3 linked regions of the Anolis sagrei genome follow. The protein of the gene in region 1 purifies or fractionates together with the protein of each later gene. This does not show direct contact. Links are inferred from orthologs where the notes say so. Each region holds a gene or a part of one and is shown on either strand. Other genes may lie near its edges.

What was found.
Region 2: the proteins of SNRPB2 (region 1) and GEMIN5 purify together in Homo sapiens (co-immunoprecipitation; 3 studies listed by BioGRID and IntAct, with this or other methods). This does not show direct contact. The link is inferred for Anolis sagrei from reciprocal best matches to the Homo sapiens genes SNRPB2 and GEMIN5.
Region 3: the proteins of SNRPB2 (region 1) and SNRNP70 purify together in Homo sapiens (affinity purification with mass spectrometry; 5 studies listed by BioGRID and IntAct, counting the BioPlex papers as one, with this or other methods). This does not show direct contact. The link is inferred for Anolis sagrei from reciprocal best matches to the Homo sapiens genes SNRPB2 and SNRNP70.

The regions. Positions count from the first base shown.
Region 1 is NC_090021.1:157,445,600-157,452,575, forward strand, and holds the start of SNRPB2 (U2 small nuclear ribonucleoprotein B''), read right to left. Parts: upstream 3,109-6,976; 5' UTR 3,011-3,108; intron 1,130-3,010; 5' UTR 1,118-1,129; coding exon 1,054-1,117; intron 1-1,053. UniProt on the Homo sapiens protein: Involved in pre-mRNA splicing as component of the spliceosome. Associated with sn-RNP U2, where it contributes to the binding of stem loop IV of U2 snRNA.
Region 2 is NC_090022.1:81,734,884-81,742,285, reverse strand, and holds the start of GEMIN5 (gem-associated protein 5), read right to left. Parts: upstream 3,121-7,402; 5' UTR 3,024-3,120; coding exon 2,861-3,023; intron 1-2,860. Other genes in the region: MRPL22 (large ribosomal subunit protein uL22m), read left to right, coding at 3,220-3,235, 3,348-3,393. UniProt on the Homo sapiens protein: The SMN complex catalyzes the assembly of small nuclear ribonucleoproteins (snRNPs), the building blocks of the spliceosome, and thereby plays an important role in the splicing of cellular pre-mRNAs.
Region 3 is NC_090026.1:28,579,658-28,587,651, forward strand, and holds the start of SNRNP70 (U1 small nuclear ribonucleoprotein 70 kDa), read right to left. Parts: upstream 3,121-7,994; 5' UTR 3,001-3,120; intron 1-3,000. UniProt on the Homo sapiens protein: Component of the spliceosomal U1 snRNP, which is essential for recognition of the pre-mRNA 5' splice-site and the subsequent assembly of the spliceosome. SNRNP70 binds to the loop I region of U1-snRNA.

The DNA.
Region 1 (6,976 bases):
TTCCGGGAAGGCACACTGGAACAGCCACGTTTTCAGGCTCCTCCTAAAGACTGCCAATGTTGGGGCATGCCTGATTTCCTTTGGAAGTGAGCTCCAGAGTTGGGGGGCCACCACCGAGAAGGTCCTCTCCCTCGTCCCCACCAATTGCGCCTGTGAAGGAGGTGGGAGAGCGAGCAGGGCCTCTCCAGATTATCAAAGAGATCGTGTGGGTTCGTACACAGAAATGCGGTCAGTTACTGTATTGCAGGTTTTGTGTACTCATACTGCAAATAAGGTAATGGAAGGCTGTTGCAGTACACTATCCTACACCATTATTAGGACACTGGGCTATAAAACTAGTGTCAAAAAGCTTTCTCTTCTCTCCACTTTCATTTTCTTTAGCACCTTTTAGATTGCAAACTGAAGGACTATGCTGTAGCCATATAAAATTCACTACACATAGATGACTCTGTCCTAAACAGTGGGCTAAAAGTGCTTCAAGTACAACATTAAATGCATGCTTCTACCACATTGTTATTGTAATTTTCCAAGAAAATATACAAACACTGCTTACAATAATAATTAAATTAACTTGTGTCACATAGACTGCTTTCCATTTTCACCAAAATGTAAAACTAGTATGACCTTGATATCTACTGGAGAAATGATACCTGACACTGTGGGCAATAGTAAACCCTATATTTTGATTGCACGTTTGCTGGATTTACACTGGAGGACCTAGAAAGGCCTACAAATAAATTTGGAGTATGGGTAATTGAAACTATAGATATCAAATTTGTGGATAATACTGTATAAATAGTTTTCAGTGCAGTCTTAAATATATGTCTTCACAAGAAAATCCTGCTGTGTCCAGGTAAAAGTGGAAAGAACTGCAGCCAAAAGGACAACAGCTAATTGTCAATATATTAAACAATTCACTCCAATAACAACCAAAACAGTTAAAGACAAAGCCTACTAGAGAGTGAAAATTATAAGCTGGAACACACACACACACATATCTTGACCCTAGGCACCAGAACATGGTAGAATAAAAGATCTGAGCTATTTTCTTACCTTCTTTTTTAATTTTGTCATTAACATTATTGATGTAAAGCGTGTGATTTGGTCGAATATCCATCTTCTAACTTCCCTAGGAAACAAGATAGCTTATTTAGCCTTTTCTCCAAGGAACTCACTTTTTTGTTTTGCATTTTTCAGGCAATTCTAATCAACCCAAGCTGATCCTACTTATGGTGTTTTTCTTGTCAAGATTTGTGTAAGTTTGCGGCAGCTTTCCTATTGGTTCTCACTTCCAAAGACAACTGTGAGCCCCACCAATGACGGAACTGGAGCAAACTTGGCACACTGAAATCCCATGACCCACTTAAGTTCTGGTGGGGTTTCTTGGGGGAAGAACTCTGGATGATGGGAGTTGCAGTACTGTCCCGCACATCATGAGATTACTGCAAACCTCTTTAGCCATAGATCTGGACCAAACCTGGCACACAGACACCCCATGACCCACTTTGAGTCCTGGTGGGGGTTTTTTTTTGGGGGGGGGGGGAGGTAGGAACCTGGATGATGAGAGTCGCAGTACCTTCACCCGCATCCAGAGACAACTGTGAACCCATCAACCATGAATCTGGACCAAAGTTGGAACAGATACCCCATGGCCCACTTTAGGTCCTAGTGGGGTTTGGGGGGGGGGGGGGTAGGAACCTGGATGATGTGGGATTTGCAGTACTTTGACCCACATCCAGAGACGACTGTGAACTCCATTAACCATGGATCAGGACCAAATTTAGCACATAGATGTCCCATGACCCACTTTAAATCCTGATGGGGTTTGGGGGTATAGGAACCTGGATTATGGGAGATGCAGTACCTTCACCCACTACTGCCAACCCCATCCAGAGGACAGGAGCAGGATTCAAAACGATCTTGACAGATTGGAGAGATGGGCCAAAACTAACAAAATGAAGTTCAACAGGGACAAATACATGATACTCCACTTTGGCAGGAAAAACGAAATGCAAAGATACAAAATGGGGGACAATGCCTGGCTCGAGAGCAGTACGTGTGAAAAAGATCTTGGAATCCTCGTGGACAACAAGTTAAACATGAGCCAACAATGTGATGTGGCGGCAAAAAAAAGCCAATGGGATTTTGGCCTGCATCAATAGGAGCATAGTGTCTAGATCTAGGGAAGTCATGCTCCCCCTCTATTCCACTTTGGTTAGACCACACCTGGAATATCGTGTCCAATTCTGGGCACCACAATTCAAGAGACATATTGACAAGCTGGAATGTGTCCAGAGGAGGGCGACTAAAATGATCAAGGGTCTGGAGAACAAGCCCTATGAGGAGCGGCTTAAGGAGCTGGGCATGTTTAGCCTGAAGAAGAGAAGGCTGAGAGGAGACATGATAGCCATGTATAAATATGTGAGAGGAAGCCACAGGGAGGAGGGAGCAACTTGTTTTCCGCTGCCCTGGAGACTAGGACACGAAACAATGGCTTCAAACTACAAGAGAGGGGATTCCATCTGAACATGAGGAAGAACTTCCTGACTGTGGGAGCCGTTCAGCAGTGGAACTCTCTGCCCGGGAGTGTGGTGGAGGCTCCTTCTTTGGAAGCTTTTAAGCAGAGGCTGGATGGCCATCTGTCAGGGGTGATTTGAATGCAATATTCCTGCTTCTTGGCAGGGGGTTGGACTGCATGGCCCATGAGGTCTCTTCCAACTCTTTGATTCTATCTGCAAGAATTTCTAACGGGTGCATTCACAAAATCCAAAAACAAGCCATGCCTTTTTTGAAAGCTAGTAGACCAGGCACGGGCAAACTTCGGCCCTCCTGATGTTTTGGACTTCAACTCCCACAATTCCTAACAGCCGGTTAGGAACTGTGGGAGTTGGGAGTTCAAAACACCTGGAAGGGCAAAGGTAGTCTATGTTGACCCAAAAAAAACCCATCTTTTGACAAAACAAATCCGAAGGATCACAATGGCAAGGCTGAACCATCCAGGACCGCCTACCTGAGCGGAGAGAAGGGACTGCGGGCTGGAGAACGAAGAGGGAAGCACGAGAGAGACGACTTCACGAGCACCGCCTTTCCGCTTCCGGGCGCAGAAGCTACTTCCGGCTCTCCATGAAGGGGCGGGGCTTTCTCACTTTAGAGCTGCCAGCATCATCGTGGCCTCATAGGGTGAGGGGAACCTTGTAGAGTCATAGTAACCTTTATAAAGAGACAGGGAGTAGGGAAAGGAAACGTTTAGTGTTGTTCTAGGAGAGCAAGGGGAGAAGGAGGAGAGAAAAACCTGGCCCTCTTGTCTTCACCTGCCTCAGGAGTATAGAGGCCTATCAAACTTATCACTAGGTTCATACAACCACTGGGCAAGAACTCTCATTCCCCCCAAAACTGGTTGGCCACATGGAATGCTGCAAAGGATCATAGAATCCTAGAGTTGGAAGAGACCTCATGGGCCATCTAGTCCAACCCCTGCCAAGAAGCAGGAATATTGCATTCAAAGCACCCCTGACAGATGGCCATTCAGCCTCTCTTTAAAAGCTTCCAAAGAAGGAGCCTCCACCACACTCCGGGGCAGAGAGTTCCACTGCTGAACGGCTCTCACAGTCAGGAAGTTCTTCCTCGTGTTCAGATGGAATCTCCTCTCTTGTAGTTCGAAGCCATTGTTCCGCGTCCTGGTCTCCAAGGAAGCAGAAAACAAGCTTGCTCCCTCCTCCCTGTGGCTTCCTCTCACATATGTATACATGGCTATCATATCTTCTCTCAGCCTTCTCTTCTTCAGGCTAAACATGCCCAGCTCCTTAAGCCGCTCCTCATTGGGCTTGTTCTCCAGACCCTTGGTTATCTTAGTCGCCCTCCTCTGGACACATTCCAACTTGTCAATATCTCTCTTGAATTGTGGTGCCCAGAACTGGACACAATATTCCAGGTGTGGTCTAACCAAAGCGGAATAGAGGGGTAGTGTTACTTCCCTAGATCTAGACACTATGCTCCTATTGATGCAGGACAAAATCCCATTGGTCTTTTTTTGCCGCCACATCACATTGTTGGCTCATGTTTAACTTGTTGTCCATGAGGACTCCAAGATCTTTTTTACACACGTACTGCTCTCGAGCCAGGCATTGTCCCCCATTCTGTATCTTTGCATTTCGTTTTTCCTGCCAAAGTGGAGTATATTGCATTTGTCACTGTTGAACTTCATTTTGTTAGTTTTAGCCCATCTCTCTAATCTGTCAAGATCGTTTTGAATTCTGCTCCTGTCCTCTGGAGTATTGGCTATCCCTCCCAATTTGGTGTCATCTGCAAACTTGATGATCATGCCTTCTAGCCCTTCATCTAAGTCATTAATAAAGATGTTGAACAGGACCGGGCCCAGGACCGAACCCTGCGGCACTCCGCTCGTCACTTCTTTCCAGGATGAAGAGGAAGCATTGGTGAGCACCCTCTGGGTTTGTCCATTTAACCAATTACTGAAAGAAGACATGAGCCAGGATAAAACAACCCAAAATCAGGTTTCTTTTATGTATAATGTCTGCTTGCTAAAGAGGTATGATAACATAATAATAATAATAATAATAATAATAATACTTTATTTATACCCCGCCACCATCTCCCCAAGGGACTCGGAGCTGCTTACATGAGGCCAGGCCCAACAACCCATCAATAAGAACAAGAAGCAATAAACAAAAACAATAAATACAATACAATTAATATAAATCACATATAAACAATAACCAATAAACAGTAACACAACAAGGATTAAAAAACCTATGGCTGGGCCAATGTAATAGTTTAAAAATTAAAAAATAAACGCTGGGCACGAACAAGGTAGGATATATCTGGTATAGGGTTTTAAAAGAGAGATGAGGGAGCGCAGTCAATCCTAAACCAATTGTAAAGTGCATTCTGAGGGCATATTGCTGAGAATTTTCCTTATTCTGGGAAGGCATACTGGAACAGCCACATTTTCAGGCTCCTCCTAAAGACTGCCAGAGTTGGGACATGCCTGATGTCCTTGGGAAGTGAGTTCCAGAGTTAGGGGGCTGATGCGGAGCATCTCCCCCCCCCCCAAGTATTTGTAGTTCGCCAAGGGCCAGACAATGGATTCTGTTGCTTCCTGACCCAGCACACATAACTGGGTTCCTGTTTCCTCTCTGTGAATTCTCTGGCTTGTGCACTGGACCCTGGCCCCTGATCAGGGAAATGTAGTTTTCTAAAGGACATTGCCCCACTCTCCACCATTTGTGAATTCCTTGCGGACCTCTTTGCCCTCACTGATTGACTTGATGCCCTATCGTCATGAACTTCCTCCACGGACTCTGAACCAGGCCTCTTGGAGAGAATAGTCTCCGCCTGTGCGTGCGCCCTTGCCAAGAAGATCATACTTCAAACAGAGATGAATTGCTTTTATCAATTGTTATTACCTCTAATAAACTTTGCTGGGTTGGGATGGGGATCTCTTTATGAAATTTATGAAACTTATGAAGATTTATGAAGAATGTATATGATATGTATAATATGAAATCTATGAGATGTACCCTTGCCCTTTTCCCTACTTTTCTCCTCTGAACTTTACCCTACTAAGAAAGGATGTGACCTGAGGCTACAGCGGAGGAAATCCAATTTCCTCAAAATAACCCCATTCATATTGACATTTTGCATGGATCAGGGTTGACAATTATCTCAAGGTTTGTTTTCAGAGTCAGACAAACAAGCCAGAGATGGGTCAACCGAAACCCGGAAAACGGACTGATTAAATCAATCATGGTATTTGTGTAAGCTCCTTTGTGATTAAGGGTCCCCTTGTCTACAGAGTTTTGAGATCCAAATGCCACCAATAGCCCCTTTTCATGTCTATACACATCTGCAATCAGAAATCAGGAAATCCTTTGTTTCTCCCGTCTGCCACCCTGCCGTGTAAGAACAAAGGCTCTCAATCAGCTGGCGGACGCCTCCCAGGCGTTCCGCCCCCTCTGAGCTGTCAAACCACGTCCCGCCTCCTGGCCGCTGATTGGACCATCTTCGGAGGCGCTCTAAGGGCTCTGATTGGCCCCCTAGAGGCGACAGCGCCCGGCGATTGGAGGGGAGGCGGGACAAGCGGCCAAGCCTCCTCCCAGCTGTTCCAGAGCCAGCCAATCAGGGCGGAGAGAGCTGACAGAAGGCGGGCGGGAGTTTCAAACCAGGTTTTCTTTGTTTTACTTGTATAAATATGCCTGGAAATCACTGTACTGTATGCTTATGGTGGAATTATCCCTGTAACGCATCCTTTTCAGCTGAATCGCAGAAATAAACGCTTCGGTCGCTGGATACCTCTTCAGCCTCTGGTGGGATTAATTCTTAATATTTTGCGCTTTGGATTGGCTTTTGCTGGCAGCTCACCAAGGTCAGAGACCCCCTTTGCGGTCTTCTGGGGCCTTCCTCGCTGGGAAAGCCCCCCAAAAAGAGCTCGATATCAGGGCCACCACTGAGAAGGCCCTCGTCCCCATCAATCGCGCCTGCGAAGGAGGCAGGAGCGCGAGCAGGGCCTCTCCTGATGATCGAAGAGATTGTGTGGGTTCGTACACAGAAATGCGGTCATGCAGGTAAGCGGGTCCCAAACCGTTCAGGTAAGAACCTGTACCTTGTATTGGGACCAGAAAATGAACGGCAGCCAATGGAGCTCCTTAAACAGGCGGGTTGACCGCTCCCTGTAAGTGACACCAGTTAGTAACCAGGCTGCCGCCCATTGTACCAATTGAAATTTCCGGGCCATTTTCAAGGGCAGCCCCACATATTGTGCACATCTGAGTGTGGACTCGGATAACCCAGTTCAAAGCAGATATTGGTGGGATTTTCTGCCTAGATATTCTGGGATATAGGACTGTGTGGAAGGGCCCTTCTACACAACCATATAAAATCCAGATTATCTGCTTTGAACTTCAATGCCCTTCCACCCAGCCCTATATCCCAGAATATCAAGCCAGGAAATCCCACA
Region 2 (7,402 bases), on another chromosome or scaffold:
ATCGTGGAATCATAACCAATCTCGTAGTCGTAATCCATTCCAGTTGTCATTTCCAGTAACATAGCACTCAGTTGAATGCCATCTCGAAAAGCCATGTCTTCAGGCCCTTGCGAAAGGCCATAAGGGAGGGCGCCTGTCTGATGTCAGCAGGGAGGGAGTTCCACAGCGGGGGGCCACCACCGAGAAGGCCCTCTCTCTCGTCCCCGCCAGACGCGCCTGTGAGGCAGGCGGGATCGAGAGAAGGGCCTCCCCAGATGATCTCAAGGTCCTCGTGGGCTCATAGGCCGAGATGCGGTCCGCAAGGTACTTTGGGCCAGAACCGTTTAGGGCTTTGTAGGATAACACCAGCACCTTAAATTGGGCCCGGTAGCAAATCGGCAGCCAGTGGAGCTGGAACAACAAGGGCGTTGTATGCTCCCTGCGTCCTGGTCCTGTTAACAACATGGCTGCCGCGCGCTGGACTAGCTGAAGCTTCCGGGCCGTCTTTAAGGGCAGCCCCACGTAGAGAGCGTTGCAGTAGTCAAGGCGGGATGTGACCAGAGCGTGTACCACCGTGGCCAAGTCAGACTTCCCAAGGTACGGGCGCAGCTGGCGCACGAGCCTAAGCTGTGCAAATGCTCCCCTGGTCACCGCTGAAACCTGGGGATCCAGGCTCAACGATGAATCCAGGATCACACCCAAGCTGCGAACCTGCGCCTTCAAGGGGAGTGCGACCCCATCCAGCACAGGCTGTAACCCTATACCCTGCTCCCATTGCATGTCCCACACTAAGGGTATGCTCTCTAGATCCTATTTTAAGAAGAATCATGAAGTTCTCAGAGCATATTATTACTATTCCCAAACTAATCCTCCGCAACACACACAAGAGCCTGCATTACTAAAATATAACAGGGGCTGAAGCTCATGGGAGTTGTAGTAATAATAATAATCCTTAATTGTAAACTACCCTATCTCCCCAAAGGAACTCAGGATGGTTTTTAATATATATGGCAAACATTCAATGTCAAAAAGGAAAAATATACAAATAAATTACATCAAAACAAATCATATGAAACGACAGGTCACAGGTTCAAATCTGGGGAGAGCGTGGATGAGCTCTCTCTGTCAGCTCCAACTCCCCATGAAGGGACATGAAAGAAGCCTCCCACAAGGATAGTAAAACATCAAAACATCCGGGCGTCTTCTGGGCAATGTCCTTGCAGATGGCCAATTCTCTCACACCAGAAGCGACTTGCAGTTTCTCAAGTCGCTCCCGACACAAAAAAAAATTGAAACAATAAACAATAAATAAGCAGTCTAACTTTAAACTTATTAACAGATAAAAAACAGCCAAAGTTTTACAAGGCCTTCTGTTTTCTCTACTAGAGTTTGGGTGTCTCAAGAAACAACAAGTCCCAGGATCCCATAAGATTGAGCCAGGGCAGTTAAGGCAAGGTCAAATCACATTTATTCTACAGTGTGGTCCAGGCATGGGCAAACTTCGGCCTTCAGTTGTTTTGGACTTCAACTCCCACAATTCCTAACAGCCGGGCCTAGGGTAGACTGTAGAGGCATTCTGTGCCTAAATAAGGGGGCTCTCATTTCCACGAGGGCCACCGTTTTAATGAATTGGGGAAAGCAAGAGTTTGCTTGCTCTTGAGCTGTGGTTCCCATCCTGTGGGTACCCAGATGTTTTGGCGTTCAACTCTCTGAAATCCTAATAACTTGTAAACTGGGATTTCTGGAAGTTGAGAACCACAGCTCTGGAGACTCATGTAGAGGTACGAATTGCATTGGATGAAACGCTTTCGTCCAGGAAAGCTCATGCTACCAATTTCTATCTCTCAGGGTGCATTCACAGGGTAGATTTAATACATTGTCGAAGGCTTTCATGGTCGGAATCACTGGGTTGTTGTAGGTTTTTTCGGGCTATATGGTCACGTTCTAGAGGCATTTTCTCCTGACGTTTCGCCTGCATCTATGGCAAGCATCCTCACTACCTGTGAGGATGCTTGCCATAGATGCAGGCGAAACGTCAGGAGAAAATGCCTCTAGAACATGGCCATATAGCCCGAAAAAACCTACAAAAAGAAAACACCCAGATTTAATAGTTTGAGACCACTTCAACACCCATGGGCTGAGGGAAGGCTCAAGATCTTGTACAACGGGCTCCTGTAGCATGGTGCCAGGGCGGTTGAAGCGGTGTGGAGCTGCACTCCTTCGACAGAGCGGAGGCGCCCTTAAAGGGAGGCCCTTAAAGGAGGAGGCCTGGCCTGGCTGCGTACCTGGCTGCCAATCTGCTACCGGGCACAATTCAAGGTGCTGGCTTTAGCCTATAAAGCCCTGAACGGTTCTGGCCCCTCTTACCTCTCCGAACGCATCTCCACCTATGAACCGACTCGAACATTAAGATCGTCTGGGGAGGCCCTGCTCTCGGTCCCGCCTGCGTCACAGGCGCGCTTGGCGGGGACGAGAGACAGGGCCTTCTCAGTGGTGGCCCCTCGGCTATGGAATGCCTTACCAGTGGACATCAGACAGGCACCATCATTGCTGGCGTTTCGGAGAAAGGTCAAGACCTGGCTTTATGAACAAGCGTTTGGTTAACAGTGCAACTGAACATAGGAAGACAGTAAATGGAACATAGGAATGATACAAGGATGATGAGTTTGGATCTGATTTCATTGAGGCGCTATGTTTGTTTCATGTTGTTTGTTAATTGTTGTGGATCGGTGTTGTTGATCCTGTTGTTATATTTGTTGTGTTTTTAATTGCACTAAGATTGTTATGATAATTTGTACCCTGTAAACCGCATTGAGTCGCCTTTTTGGGCTGAAAATGCGGTATAGAAATGAAGCAAATAAATAAATAAATAAATAAATACCATAGAAGGCGGGGGCGGCGGGGCGGGCCTGCAGGAGGCACACCGTGTGGCGAGCCGCGAAGCCGAAGAGGCGCCCGTCCTCGGAGGCGTCGCTGCACCGGCCGCAGTACCAGTTGGGAGAGGCCGGCAGCACTCGCTCCGCGGCGCCTGGAGAGCCCTCCATCTGCTTCGGCACTACTGCTCTCCTCTCCTCTCTCTCTCACGCCTCCGATGCTTCGGTTACCACACGCTGCCGCAAAGTACGCGCCTCACGTGCTGTTGCAAACGCGCCCGCTCGCGGGAAAAACGGTGGCCGCGTGGGGCCAAGCGGCGCGTTCTTGAAGGCCTTTGCCGTAAAGCCCTGAAGGAGGGCTTCCAAAATGGCGGCGCTCTGGGGTGAGTGTGAAGGAAGGTGCTTGCGGTGGCAAAGTGTTTCATAGACGCGATGCCGGATCTGCTTCGCCATCTCAATCAACATCTTACTGTTTATGTTTTTTCTTCTTTCTAGCGGCAGCCCAAACGTGGAGCGTCAGTGGGTGGATTCGGGCAAGCAGGTGAGTCTTCCTTCGTCGGCTGGAAAGGCTTCACAGGAGGGCCAGGTGGCCTGCTGCACTCTAGCCCCCAGGCCCCTTCCACACAGCTAAATAAAATCCCACATTTTCCGCATTGAATTGGAAAATATGGCAGTGTGGACTCAGATAACCCAGTTCATAGCAGATATTATGGAATTTTCTACCTTGATATTCTGGGTTATATGGCTGTGTGGCCTGATTCCTGCTAAAACCCACGAAAGACTGTAATCAACACTACTTTAAAACAGATTCTACATGCCTCTTTGAATGTTCAGTTCTTAGGCATCTGGGGGCTTTTCCACACAGCCATATAACCCAGAATATCAAAGCAGATAATCCACAATATCTGCTTTGAACTGGGTTATCTGAATCCACGCGGCTATATTATCCAGAGCTCTTCCAGGGCCCTTCCACACAGCCATAGAATCAAGGCAGCAAATCTCACAAATATCAAGGCAGCAAATCTCACAATATCTGCTTTGAACTGAGTTATCCGAGTCCACACTCAGATAATATGGGATTCCCTGCCTTGATATTCTAGGACATCAAGGCAGAACATATCACAATATCTGCTTTGAACTGGATTATCTGAGGGCCCTTCTAAACAGCCCTATATCCCAGAATATCAAGGCAGAAAATCCCACGATATCTGCTTTATTTATTTATTTATTTATTTAAAACATTTATATTCTGCCCTTCTCACCCCAAAGGGGATTCAGGGCGGAGCACAGGATATACATGGCAAACATTCAATGCCGGGATACAAATTCACATACAATACATAAACATTAAAAAACATTTATCAAAATATTAAAATACACCATTTAAAACCGTTTTGATCTGGGTTATCAGAGTCTACACTCAGATAATGTTGGATTCCCTGCCTTGATATTCTGGGATATAGGGCTGTGTGGAAGGGCCCCAAATCCATGCTGCTGCTTCAAAGCAAAAAATGTGGAATTTTATTCAGCTGCATGGAAGGAACCCTAGACAGACCCTATAGCCCAGGAGCTGATCACATAGCAAGAGAGCACAGCCACTCCACTGAGGGACCTTCCACACAATCCTATATCCACACTGCACTATATCCCAGAATACCAAGGCAGGAAATCCCACATTTTCAGCTTTGAACTGGAATATATGGGAGTGTGGTCTCAGAGCCCTTTCACACAGCTCTATATCCCAGAATTTCAAGGCAGAAAATTCCACATTATCTAAATGTGGACTCAGGTAACTCAGTTGAAAGCCGATACTGTGGTAGTTTCTGTCTTGATATTCTGAGATATAGGACTGTGTGGAAGGACCCTCATATCACCCAGTTCAAAACAGATATTGTGGGATTATCTGCATTGATATTCTGGATTATATGGCTATGTGGAAGGGCCCCCAGATGCTTAAGAACTGAACATTCAGAGAGGCATGCAGCATCTGTTTTAAAGTAGTGTCGATTAAGGTCTTTCATGGGTTTTAGCAGGAATCAGCCCCCTTCTACACTGCCATATAAAATCCAGATTATCTGATTTGAACTGGATTATCTGGCAGTGTACACTCATATAATCCTGTTCAAAGCAGATAATCTGGGTTATCTGCTTTGATAATGTGGAATATATAGTGTAGAAGGGGCCTCAGTTTCACAAAAATACTTTATTATGCAAATGGGATAAAGACAATAGTCTAGACTCCAGTTGGTTCTTTACAAAAATAAAAAAGCAGTTTCTAAACTAGAAAATTGTCAAATCTTCTAAACTTGGTACAGTGTACTATAGTGTATGTAGTCTTCATATTGGAGGATATTGTCATACAGTTGATGCTCTGAAGTAGTTCTGCTGGCTGTTACTTTCCTGGTACAATGACAATGAAGAAAGCACGTTTCTTTCCTACCACCATCACAGTCTAACTTCACAAATGGATCCTGCCTGCAACCTGTCTGTTACACAAAATATTCTGTAGTCATTTCTCATGTCTACTTTGTGTGCATCTGAGATACTGCATGCCCCCCTTATCAATGGAGTCATTACCCACAATTTCACTTACCTACAGTTCATAAAGCGTTCCATCCACAAATATATTATTGGCCATGTATAGTTAAATACATGGTTTGCCGTTCTCCACAGTTTCAGGTATCCGGGGGGTGGGGGGGGGGGTGAGGGAGACAGAATGTATAACATGCAGATACAGGGGTCATACTATAGTAAAATTTCAAGAAGTTACAGATGTAGTAACTGAATATGATGATGATGATAATTTTTATTTCTATCCGTTGTCTCCCTGTGGGGACTCAGGGCAGTTTGCAACAAACAGTGGCAGACATTCAATGCCGTAAAGTGCAGGTAGAAACAAAAACGAAAACAACAAAAGCAACCATAAAATCAGAGAACATATAAAACATCCATCTTAAGTGGTAATGGGATGGCCTGAATATCCATCAGGACATGATTTAGTATAGTTGAAACAACAAACAAATCTTTGAAAGTTTTCTTAACTTAGTTGGTTTCATCAGTCTCTTGTAGATAACTAGATTCAGCATTACTACAGGTTCTGTGGTTTGCCACGTGTTGATACCCTGGGGGGAGGGCAAGATAATTGCTCTCTGCATCAGCTTTCACAGGTCCCTTCCACACAGCTGTATAAAATCCACATTGAACTAGATTGTGGATTATCTACCTTGATATTCTGGGTTATGTGGCTGTGTGGAAGAGCCCACAGAACAAAATTGAGGAGTATTTGCCATCACAACTATTAGGTCAACTGATCTGAAAAAAATATGGGATCTGATGGAATTAATAGTAGCTTCCATCCTTTGTTGCCTCTGAGGATAAGTACCATCAGGAAATAGGACAGTGGTGGGAAAAATGTGCGTGATTTGCCACAGCCTCTGGGTCTCTAATGTCTTCTAGAAACCTCCAAAGTCCTCTGATGCCAGCAAAAAAATTCATGTAAAACTTGCCTCTGAAAACTCCAAATCATCTCATCAGAATGATAATTTTGGTCCCCTAATCTCCCATTACTCCAAATCCACCAAAATAAAAGGACACATTTCAGCTGAAAGGCAACGTCATGTTAAATCATTTCAAGTCATTGGTGACTTCAGAAGTGATCTCTTCCTTCATACAATTACATCTCCCCAACATATTTAGAAATTGACAGTGCCAGTATTCTGTTAGTGCCAAGACATTATGGTAATCCAGCTTCTCCTAGTGCTGAACAACCTGTAGGGCTGGATTTTTCAGTACATTTACTCCATGAGACATACAATAACATTGAGTTATCCCATGTCAGACTATTTGTCCATTCAGTATTGTCTACTCTCAGGTAAAAGCTCTTAATAGCTCTAAATTCCATGATTTCAAATTTGATGAAATAAGTAGAGAATAGTTAATGTAAGCAGTCGTTTCTTGCTCCTTTTTTGTTTGTCTTTTTATTCTGCTCCTTTATCATTAAGCTGTTATTGATATAAGCATAATTATGTTTTCTTGAGTTAGGAATAATAGAATCAAGTGCTCATTATATCAAGTGAAGACCATTTTATATTTTAAAGAGAAGAAAACCACTTCATAAAAAGAATAGTTTATTTCAGTTGAAATTGATGTCTTGTTAGAGGTTGCTGTTTATTTATCTAAATTTTGCCCCATTGGTTTTTAGTTTCCTTAAAGCTTTCAAAATCAGTATGATTCTAATTAGCATCAATGGTCAGTTTGTATTCCCTTGAGATAAAATTTCCTTCATATACAGAAAAAGCAAGACTTTTACTCTTCTAAGGCCTGGTCTTGCTTTAATCTGGAATATTACCTCCTGCTGTCTCAGGACCTCTTTGAATTTTTATGTGTCTTTCATTACTGTTTTCAAGCTGTCCTGTGAAGTTATCAAAGAACAGTAATTGGGACTTGAAACAGTGGCATTAACAAGTGGCTTAAGCTCTGCAGTTAGGAGCTATGACTAGACATTTTCATTCTATCTCTGTTCCCTTAATTAATGTTCACAGTCCCCAACC
Region 3 (7,994 bases), on another chromosome or scaffold:
AAGGAAGAAAAGAAGTAAAGGAAGAAGGAATGAAGTGAGAAAGGATGAAGAGAAATGCAAGAATAGAAGAAAGGAGTCAAGGAAGGAGTAAGCAATGAGGGGGAAAGGAAGGAGGAAAGGAACTGGGAAGTAACTGGCCTTTTGCTCACAAGTTAAAACCTTTCTGTGGAATCAGGCCTTTCTCAATAACCTATAAAGGCAATGACCAGACAACTATTGGTAAGCCATATTATTATTGCTATTTCGGACTTGGCAATGTTGACACAACCAAAAGTCTCCAAATAAGGCCTCCGGAAATATATTTGTATTGTAGAATAACTGTCAAAAAAAGTGTTGTCGAAGGCTTTCATTCACAGAATCACTGGGTTGCGATGAGTTTTCTGGGCTGTATGGCCATGTTCCAGAAGCATTCTCTCCCGATGTTTTGCTCACATATATGGCAGGCACCCTCAGAGGTTGTGAGGTATATTGGAAACTAGACGAAGGCGTGCCTGATGGCACAGTGGGTCAAACCGCTAAGCTGCTGAACTTGCTGACCAAAAGGTTGGCGGTTTGAATTTGGGGAGTGGGATAAGTTAGCCCCAGCTTCTGTCAACTTAGCAGTTCAAAAACATCCAAATGTGAATAGATCAATAGGTACCATCTTGGTGGGAAGGTAACAGCGCTCCATGCAGTCATGCTGGCCACATGACCTTGGAGGTGTCTATGGACAATGGCCACATGACCTTGGAGGTGTCTATGGACATCTGGGGACCCCAGGTTGAGAACCATGTATTGTCGAAGGCTTTCATGGCCGGAATCACTGGGTTGCGGCGAGTTTTCCGGGCTGTATGGCCATGTGCCTGAAGCATTCTCTCCGGACGTTTATAGATCTGTGGAAGGTCCGGGGTGGGAGAAATAGCTCTTGGTTGCTGTATGTTTTTCAGGCTGTATGGCCATGTTCCAGAAGCATTCTCTCCTGACGTTTATAGATCCGTTGAAGGTCTGGTGTGGGAGAAATAACTCTTGGTTGCTGTACGTTTTTCAGGATGTATGGCCATGTTCCAGAAGCATTATCTCCTGAAGTTTATAGATCTGTGGAAGGGCTGGGGTGGGAGAAATAACTCTTAGTTGCTGTAAGTTTTTCGGGCTGTATGGCCATATTTATTTATCGTGTCATCAGCAACCAGACCATTGTGTTACATTTCTAACAGAACAAAACAAACAAACAGATAAAAAAACACAAATTCTGCAAACTTGGTAGTTGATTAAATGTCCTTTGACCAGTAGCTGGCCACTTGGAGTGCCTCTGGTGTTGCCGCAAGAAGGTCCTCCATTGTGCATGTGGCAGGGCTCAGGTTGCATTGCAGCAGGTGGTCAGTGGTTTGCTCTTCTCCGCACTTGCATGTCGTGGATTCCACTTTGTGGCCCCATTTCTTGAGATTGGCGCTGCATCTCGTGGTGCCAGAGCGCAGTCTGTTCAGTGCCTTCCAAGTCGCCCAGTCTTCTGTGTGCCCAGGGGGGAGTCTCTCATTTGGTATCACCCACGGATTGAGGTGCTGGGTTTGAGCCTGCCACTTTTGAACTCTCGCTTGCTGAGGTGTTCCAGCGAGTGTCTCTGTAGATTAGGGCTGGGTGGTTTCGTTCATTAATTTCGTAATTCATTATTAATTCGTATTTAAATTAGCTTACGATCCGATATTGAGCCATTTTGGAATAGTGTGAGGAGTTAAATAGATTCGAAACAATTTTTCAACTTATTTTGTAATTGTTTCGTAATTGTTTCGAAATTATTTTCGCATGCCTGGTGCAAGTTTTATAGTTGTTTGTTTTATCACACCAACAGTCAACAACAGAGGGAGAGGGAAGCTTTAGAAGTTCCCCCTGTCCCATTTGGAGGTTTTTTCAGCATATTTGGAGGTTTTTTTTAGCATATTGTGCAATCGCGTCCGCCATTAACAAATCGATTCGAAATTTACGAAATTTCGTATATTTCAAAAATTTTAAAAGGAAAATTTCGGAATTCTTTAAAGAAACGAAACGTGATGGACCCCTTAAAAACGAATCGAGTTTAGAAACAAATTCTTCCGTGGTTACCCAGCCCTACTGTAGATCTAAGAAAAGTATTTCTTGATTTAAGTCGTTGATGTGCTGGCTGATACCCAAACAGCCATGTAATGGCCATGTTCCAGAAGCATTCTCTCCTGACGTTTCGCCTCCTGAGGATGCCTGTCATAGATGCAGGCAAAACGTCAGAAGAGAATGCTTCTGGAGCATGGTCATACAGCCCGAAAATTTTATAGCAACCAAGAGTTATTTCTCCCACCTTGGACCTTCCACAGATACATAAACGTCAGAGAGGAAGCTTCTGGCACATGGCCATACAGCCGGGAAAACTCACCACAACCCAGTGTCTAAAAAAGGAATGGTTTGCCCATGGAGGCTCCTTCTTTGGAAGCTTTTATGCAGAGGCTGGATGGCCATCTGTCAGGGGTGATTTGAATGCAATATTCCTGCTTCTTGGCAGGGGGTTGGACTGGATGGCCCGTGAGGTCTCTTCCAACTCTTCGATTCTATGATTCTATGCCTGTTGTAAACCCCACGCGGCCTAGGCCTCAAGCTTCAGGTCCTCATCTGCGTCACTAAAGTTAAATGTACGGCAGTGGCGCCTACCTCGCAAGGCCGCTGTAAGGAAAAAACGCTGGCCATTAATATTGCATTGGCATCCCAGCAGCCTTTGCGGAGCCCCCACGCCCCTTCTTCCCTCCTCCGCGGCAGGCCTTCCCCTGCGACTCGAGGCCAATTTCCCTCTCCGGCCTTTCCCCGGGGCCTACTTCGGCCCTTCTGCTTCAAGCCTCCCTCCAAGCCCCGCGCCCGCTCTTCCCAAGCCCCTCCCTCACTCCGGCCGAGGCGAAAGGAGCCTTCTTCCTCTCACAAAAACACAACAGAATAAATATACATATTCCCCGCCACAAAAGCACCACAACACCTTCTCCCCACAACCGACCGCGCCTCACACACCCTCGACTCTCCCCCGCGGAGGGGTCCTCGGCCGCGTTACGCTTCCTCCTCTCCTCGGCGCCTCCCGCCGCCTCAGGCTGGGGCCTACTCCACCGTCCTTCTGCGCATGCTCGGGATCCTTCCGCGCCGGGACTCGTTTCTGTTCTCTTGAAATGATTCCTCCGCCAGAGCTTTGCTGTAGGAGAAGCGGCTCTGAGGAGAAAGAGTGACGCTGCTAATATAGTTCCAGTCACAAAGCAAAAAGAGGCGGGGATTGGGTTTGAAAGAGATGAAGTCAGAGGGTCTAAAACCAAAATCCAGAGGAAGAAATGCTTCTCACACATTTGAGAGCCTTGAACTGTTATTCCTGGTTTCGTTTTAAAATATCAATAAGATAAAATATCAATAATAATAATAATGCTGGTAGATTATAACATTCATAAAGGGGTCTCTCTCAAAAATGTGCTCTTTGAAGATGAAGTACCATCTTTACATTTATTTATTTATATTTCAGATGAAGTACCCTGTCTGCTGAGACACTGGAATTAGCCCAAGAAAGGAGGAAAGCAAAAGGAAACAGGGATAAGGGGAGATATGCCCAGTTAAATGCGCAATTCTAGAGGTTAGCCAGAAGAGAGAAGGAACTATTTTTAAATAAGCAATGCATGGAACTGGAAGAAGACAACAGAATAGGAAGGACAAGAGACCTCTTCCAGAAAATTAGAAACACTAGAGGTAAATTTCAGGTAAAAAGTGGTACGATAAGAAACAAAGATGGCAGGGACCTAACAGAAGCTGAAGAGATCAAGAGAAGGTGGCGAGACTATACAGAAGATCTGTATAGGAAGGATAATAATATCGAGGATAGCTTTGACGGTGTGGTGAATGAATTAGAACCAGACATCCTGAAGAGTGAGGTTGAATGGGCCTTAAGAAGCATTGCTAACAACAAGGCAGCAGGAGACGACGGGATCCCAGCTGAACTGTTTAAAATCTTAAAAGATGATGCTGTCAAGGTGATGCATGCCATATGCCAGCAAATATGGAAAACACAAGAATGGCCATCAGACTGGAAAAAATCAACTTATATCCCCATACCAAAAAAGGGAAATGCGAAAGACTGCTCAAACTTTCGTACAGTGGCCCTTATTTCTCATGCCAGTAAGGTAATGCTCAAGATCCTGCAAGGAAGACTCCAGCAAGACATGGAGCGAGAGTTGCCAGATGTTCAAGCAGGGTTTAGAAAAGGCAGAGGAACGAGAGACCAGATTGCCAATATCCGCTGGATAATGGAGAAAGGCAGGGAGTTTCAGAAAAACATCTATTTCTGCTTCATTGACTGTGTGGATCATAATAAATTGTGGGATGGGCATACCAAGCCCCCTTGTCTCTCTCCTGAGGAATCTGTACAAGGACCAAGTAGCAACAGTCAGAACTGACCACGGAACAACAGACTGGTTCAAGATTGGGAAAGGCGTACGGCAAGGCTGCATACTCTCACCCAACCTTTTTAACTTGTATGCAGAACACATCATGCGATGTGCGGGGCTGGATGAATGCAAAGCTGGGGTGAAAATTGCTGGAAGAAACATCAACAACCTCAGTATGTAGATGACACCACTCTGATGGCCGAAAGTGAGGAGGAGCTGAGGAGCCTTCTAATCAAGGTGAAAGAAGAAAGCGCAAAAGCTGGGTTGCAGCTAAACATAAAAAAAACCAAGATTATGGCAACAGGAATGATTGACAACTGGAAAATAGAAGGAGAAAATGTGGAGGCCGTGACAGACTTTGTATTTCTAGGTGCAAAGATTACTGCAGATGCAGACTGTGGCCAGGAAATCAGAAGACGCTTACTTCTTGGGAGGAGAGCAATGTCCAATCTCGATAAAATAGTAAAGAGTAGAGACATCACACTGGCAACATAGATCCGCATAGTCAAAGCCATGGTATTCCCTGTAGTAACCTACGGATGTGAGAGCTGGACCTTAGGAAAGGCTGAGCGAAGGAAGATAGATGCTTTTGAGCTGTGGTGTTGGAGGAAAGTTCTGAGAGTGCCTTGGACTGCGAGAAGATCCAACCAGTTCATCCTCCAGAAAATGAAGCCCGACTGCTCACTGGAGGGAAAGATACTAGAGACAAAGTTGAAGTGCTTTGGCCACATCATGAGGAGACAGGAAAGCCTAGAGAAGACAATCATGCTGGGGAAAGTGGAAGGTAAAAGAAAGAGCAGCCGACCAAGGGCAAGATGGATGGATGGTATCCTTTTATAATAGTTTTTTTTATTAAGATTTTAAGAATAACATCGAAAGAGGGAGAATATTAAAAAAGATGATAGGAAAGTAGGAAAAAAAGTAAGAAGTACATCCCCCTACCCCCAAGTCCACCAGAAAAATACAAAAATATAAAAGACACAAAAAAATGAAAGAAAAAAAAGAAAAAAAAGAAGATAAAAATTGACTTCCATCTCTCCATCAGGTGTTGTGTCCTCAATGATTTTTCCATTATATCCACTTCATAATGTTCCTCTTATTTATTTATTTCCTTTTCGTAGTTTTCATATAGAGTCCAATCTGTCCTCTTTATCGGGTTCCCGGTATTCTTTTTCAAGAAAAAAAAAGTTAATTCGTCAATTTCTCTTATTTCTCTTAATTTCCCTAACCACTCTTCAGTGGTAGGGATATCTTCCTGTTTCCAAAACTTCGCCAATAATATTCTCGCTGCTGTTGTAGCATAGGTAAATAGTCTATCTTCGTATCCTTGAAGTGACTGGACTGACCTTGAAGGAGCTGGGGGTGGTGACGGCCGACAGGAAGCTCTGGCGTGGGCTGGTCCATGAGGTCACGAAGCGTCGGAGATGACTGAACGAATGAACAACACCATCTTTATATTTATTTAATTATATTTATATTTAAGATGAAGTACCATCTTTATATTTATTTATATTTAAGATGAAGTACCACCTTTATAATTATTTATTTATATTTAAGATGAAGTACCATCTTTATATTTATTTAATTAATTATATTTATATTTAAGATAAAGTACCATCTTTATATTTATAAATATATTTATATTTAAGCTGAGTCCTTCTGGATTCTTCACTTACGTTTGAGGCTCAGGCGTCGGTGGTGGCCGGGAGGGCCTTTGCACAATTAAGACTTGTGCGTCAACTGCGACCGTACCTTGGGAAGGCGGATCTGGCCAAGGTGGTCCACGCCTTAGTCACCTCTAGACTGGATTACTGCAATGCACTCTATGTGGGGCTGCCCTTGAAAATGGCCCGGAAATTTCAGATGATCCAATGGGCGGCAGCCAGGTTGTTAACTGGGGCTCCTTACAGAGAGCAGTCATCCCTCCTGTTCAGGGAGCTCCACTGGTTGCCATTAATCTACCGGACCCAATTCAAGGTGCAGGTTCTTACTTATAAAGCCCTGAACGGTTTGGGACCCACCTACCTATGTGATCGCATCTCTGTATACGAACCCACATGATCCCTTCGATCTTCCGGAGAGGCCCTGCTCTCGATCCCACCAGCATCACAGGCATGTTTGGTGGGGACGAGGGAGAGGGCCTTTTTGGTGGTGGTCCCTTGACTCTGGAACTCACTCCCTAAAGACATCAGACAGGCCCCAACCCTGGCAGTCTTCAGGAGGAGCTTGAAGACGTGGCTGTTCCAGTGTGCCTTCCCGGTATAATGAATCCCATAGCACTTTGTCCTCCAAAGCACTTTATATTTCCCTGAGTCTGCTTGTATGCCCTCCACAAACACTAATATCACCTTTCGTTCATGGCCCAGCATTATTTCCAATTTTAACTCTACATTTGGCCTTCCCGCTGTTTTAATGATGTGTTGCTTTTTTGATAATGTTGTGTACTTTATTGTCTATGTTTTTAATTGCTTGTATTGATGTTTTATTGCTTTTGTTGTGTTTGGGCTCGGCCTCATGTAAGCCACACCGAGTCCCTTGGGGAGAAAGTTAATAAATAATAAATAAATAAATAAATAATTTAAGTAATTACTTTTACATTTAAGATGAAGTACCATCTTTATATTTATAAATATATTTATATTGAATGGTTGTCTTAAAAAGGTATGGGCAAACTTGGGCCTTCCTCCTGGTGTTTTGGACTCCAACTCCCACCATTCCTAACAGCATCAGTCCCTTTCCTTTTTCCCCTCAGCCGCTTAAGACCACTACTTTCAAAGTGAAGACTACACTATTAAACAGGAACTGACACTTTCAAGCCAGGAACAGAACTTTGTCATTATTATTGTCATTCAGAGGCTGCATGGCCATCTGGCCAGACAGGTTTGGTCGTGTACTAGTGCCTGGGAATAACAGGCACAAGTGTATAACCCGAAAACAAACCAACATAAAAAATCCCATATTTTCCAGGTGTATGGACATACAGAGATACGAATATCCTCATTTTCCGAACAGAGCTGGGATATTCCTGCAACTGAAAATATTTTGTTTTTAGTACTTTGTAGTGATGCCTCCCATGTTTTCAGGGGATATTGATAAAGGTACTGTGTGACTGGGTGCTGGGTTATATGGCTGTGTGGAATTGTGGGAGTTGTAGTTTTACCCAGTCTTTAGTCTTCTCTGTCAAAGAATGCCGTTGTCACACCAAACTACAAAACCCATGATTCCATAGCACTGAGCCATGGCAATTAAATTGGTCTCAAATGGCATTACTTTTACAAATTTGATGTACTCCCAGTTTACAGTTAGCTTTAGTAGTACAAAACAGCCCACATACCATATATTTGCTAACTGAAGTGCCTAGCAGCAGATGGCACTGTCAGATAGTGAATGTTTTAGAAGCTGCCATCCAAAGAAAATGTACTTGGATATAGTAAAGATGAGAAACTAACAATATTCAAAGCAGTAGCATACTTTTCAAAATTCCAAGGGTTATTTGTTCTGTTTGATTTTCAGATAGAGAAGAACAGCCAGTCGAAGAAACAAATCAGAGTTAAACAATGAATCCTCAAAATCCTCCAGTCGCCA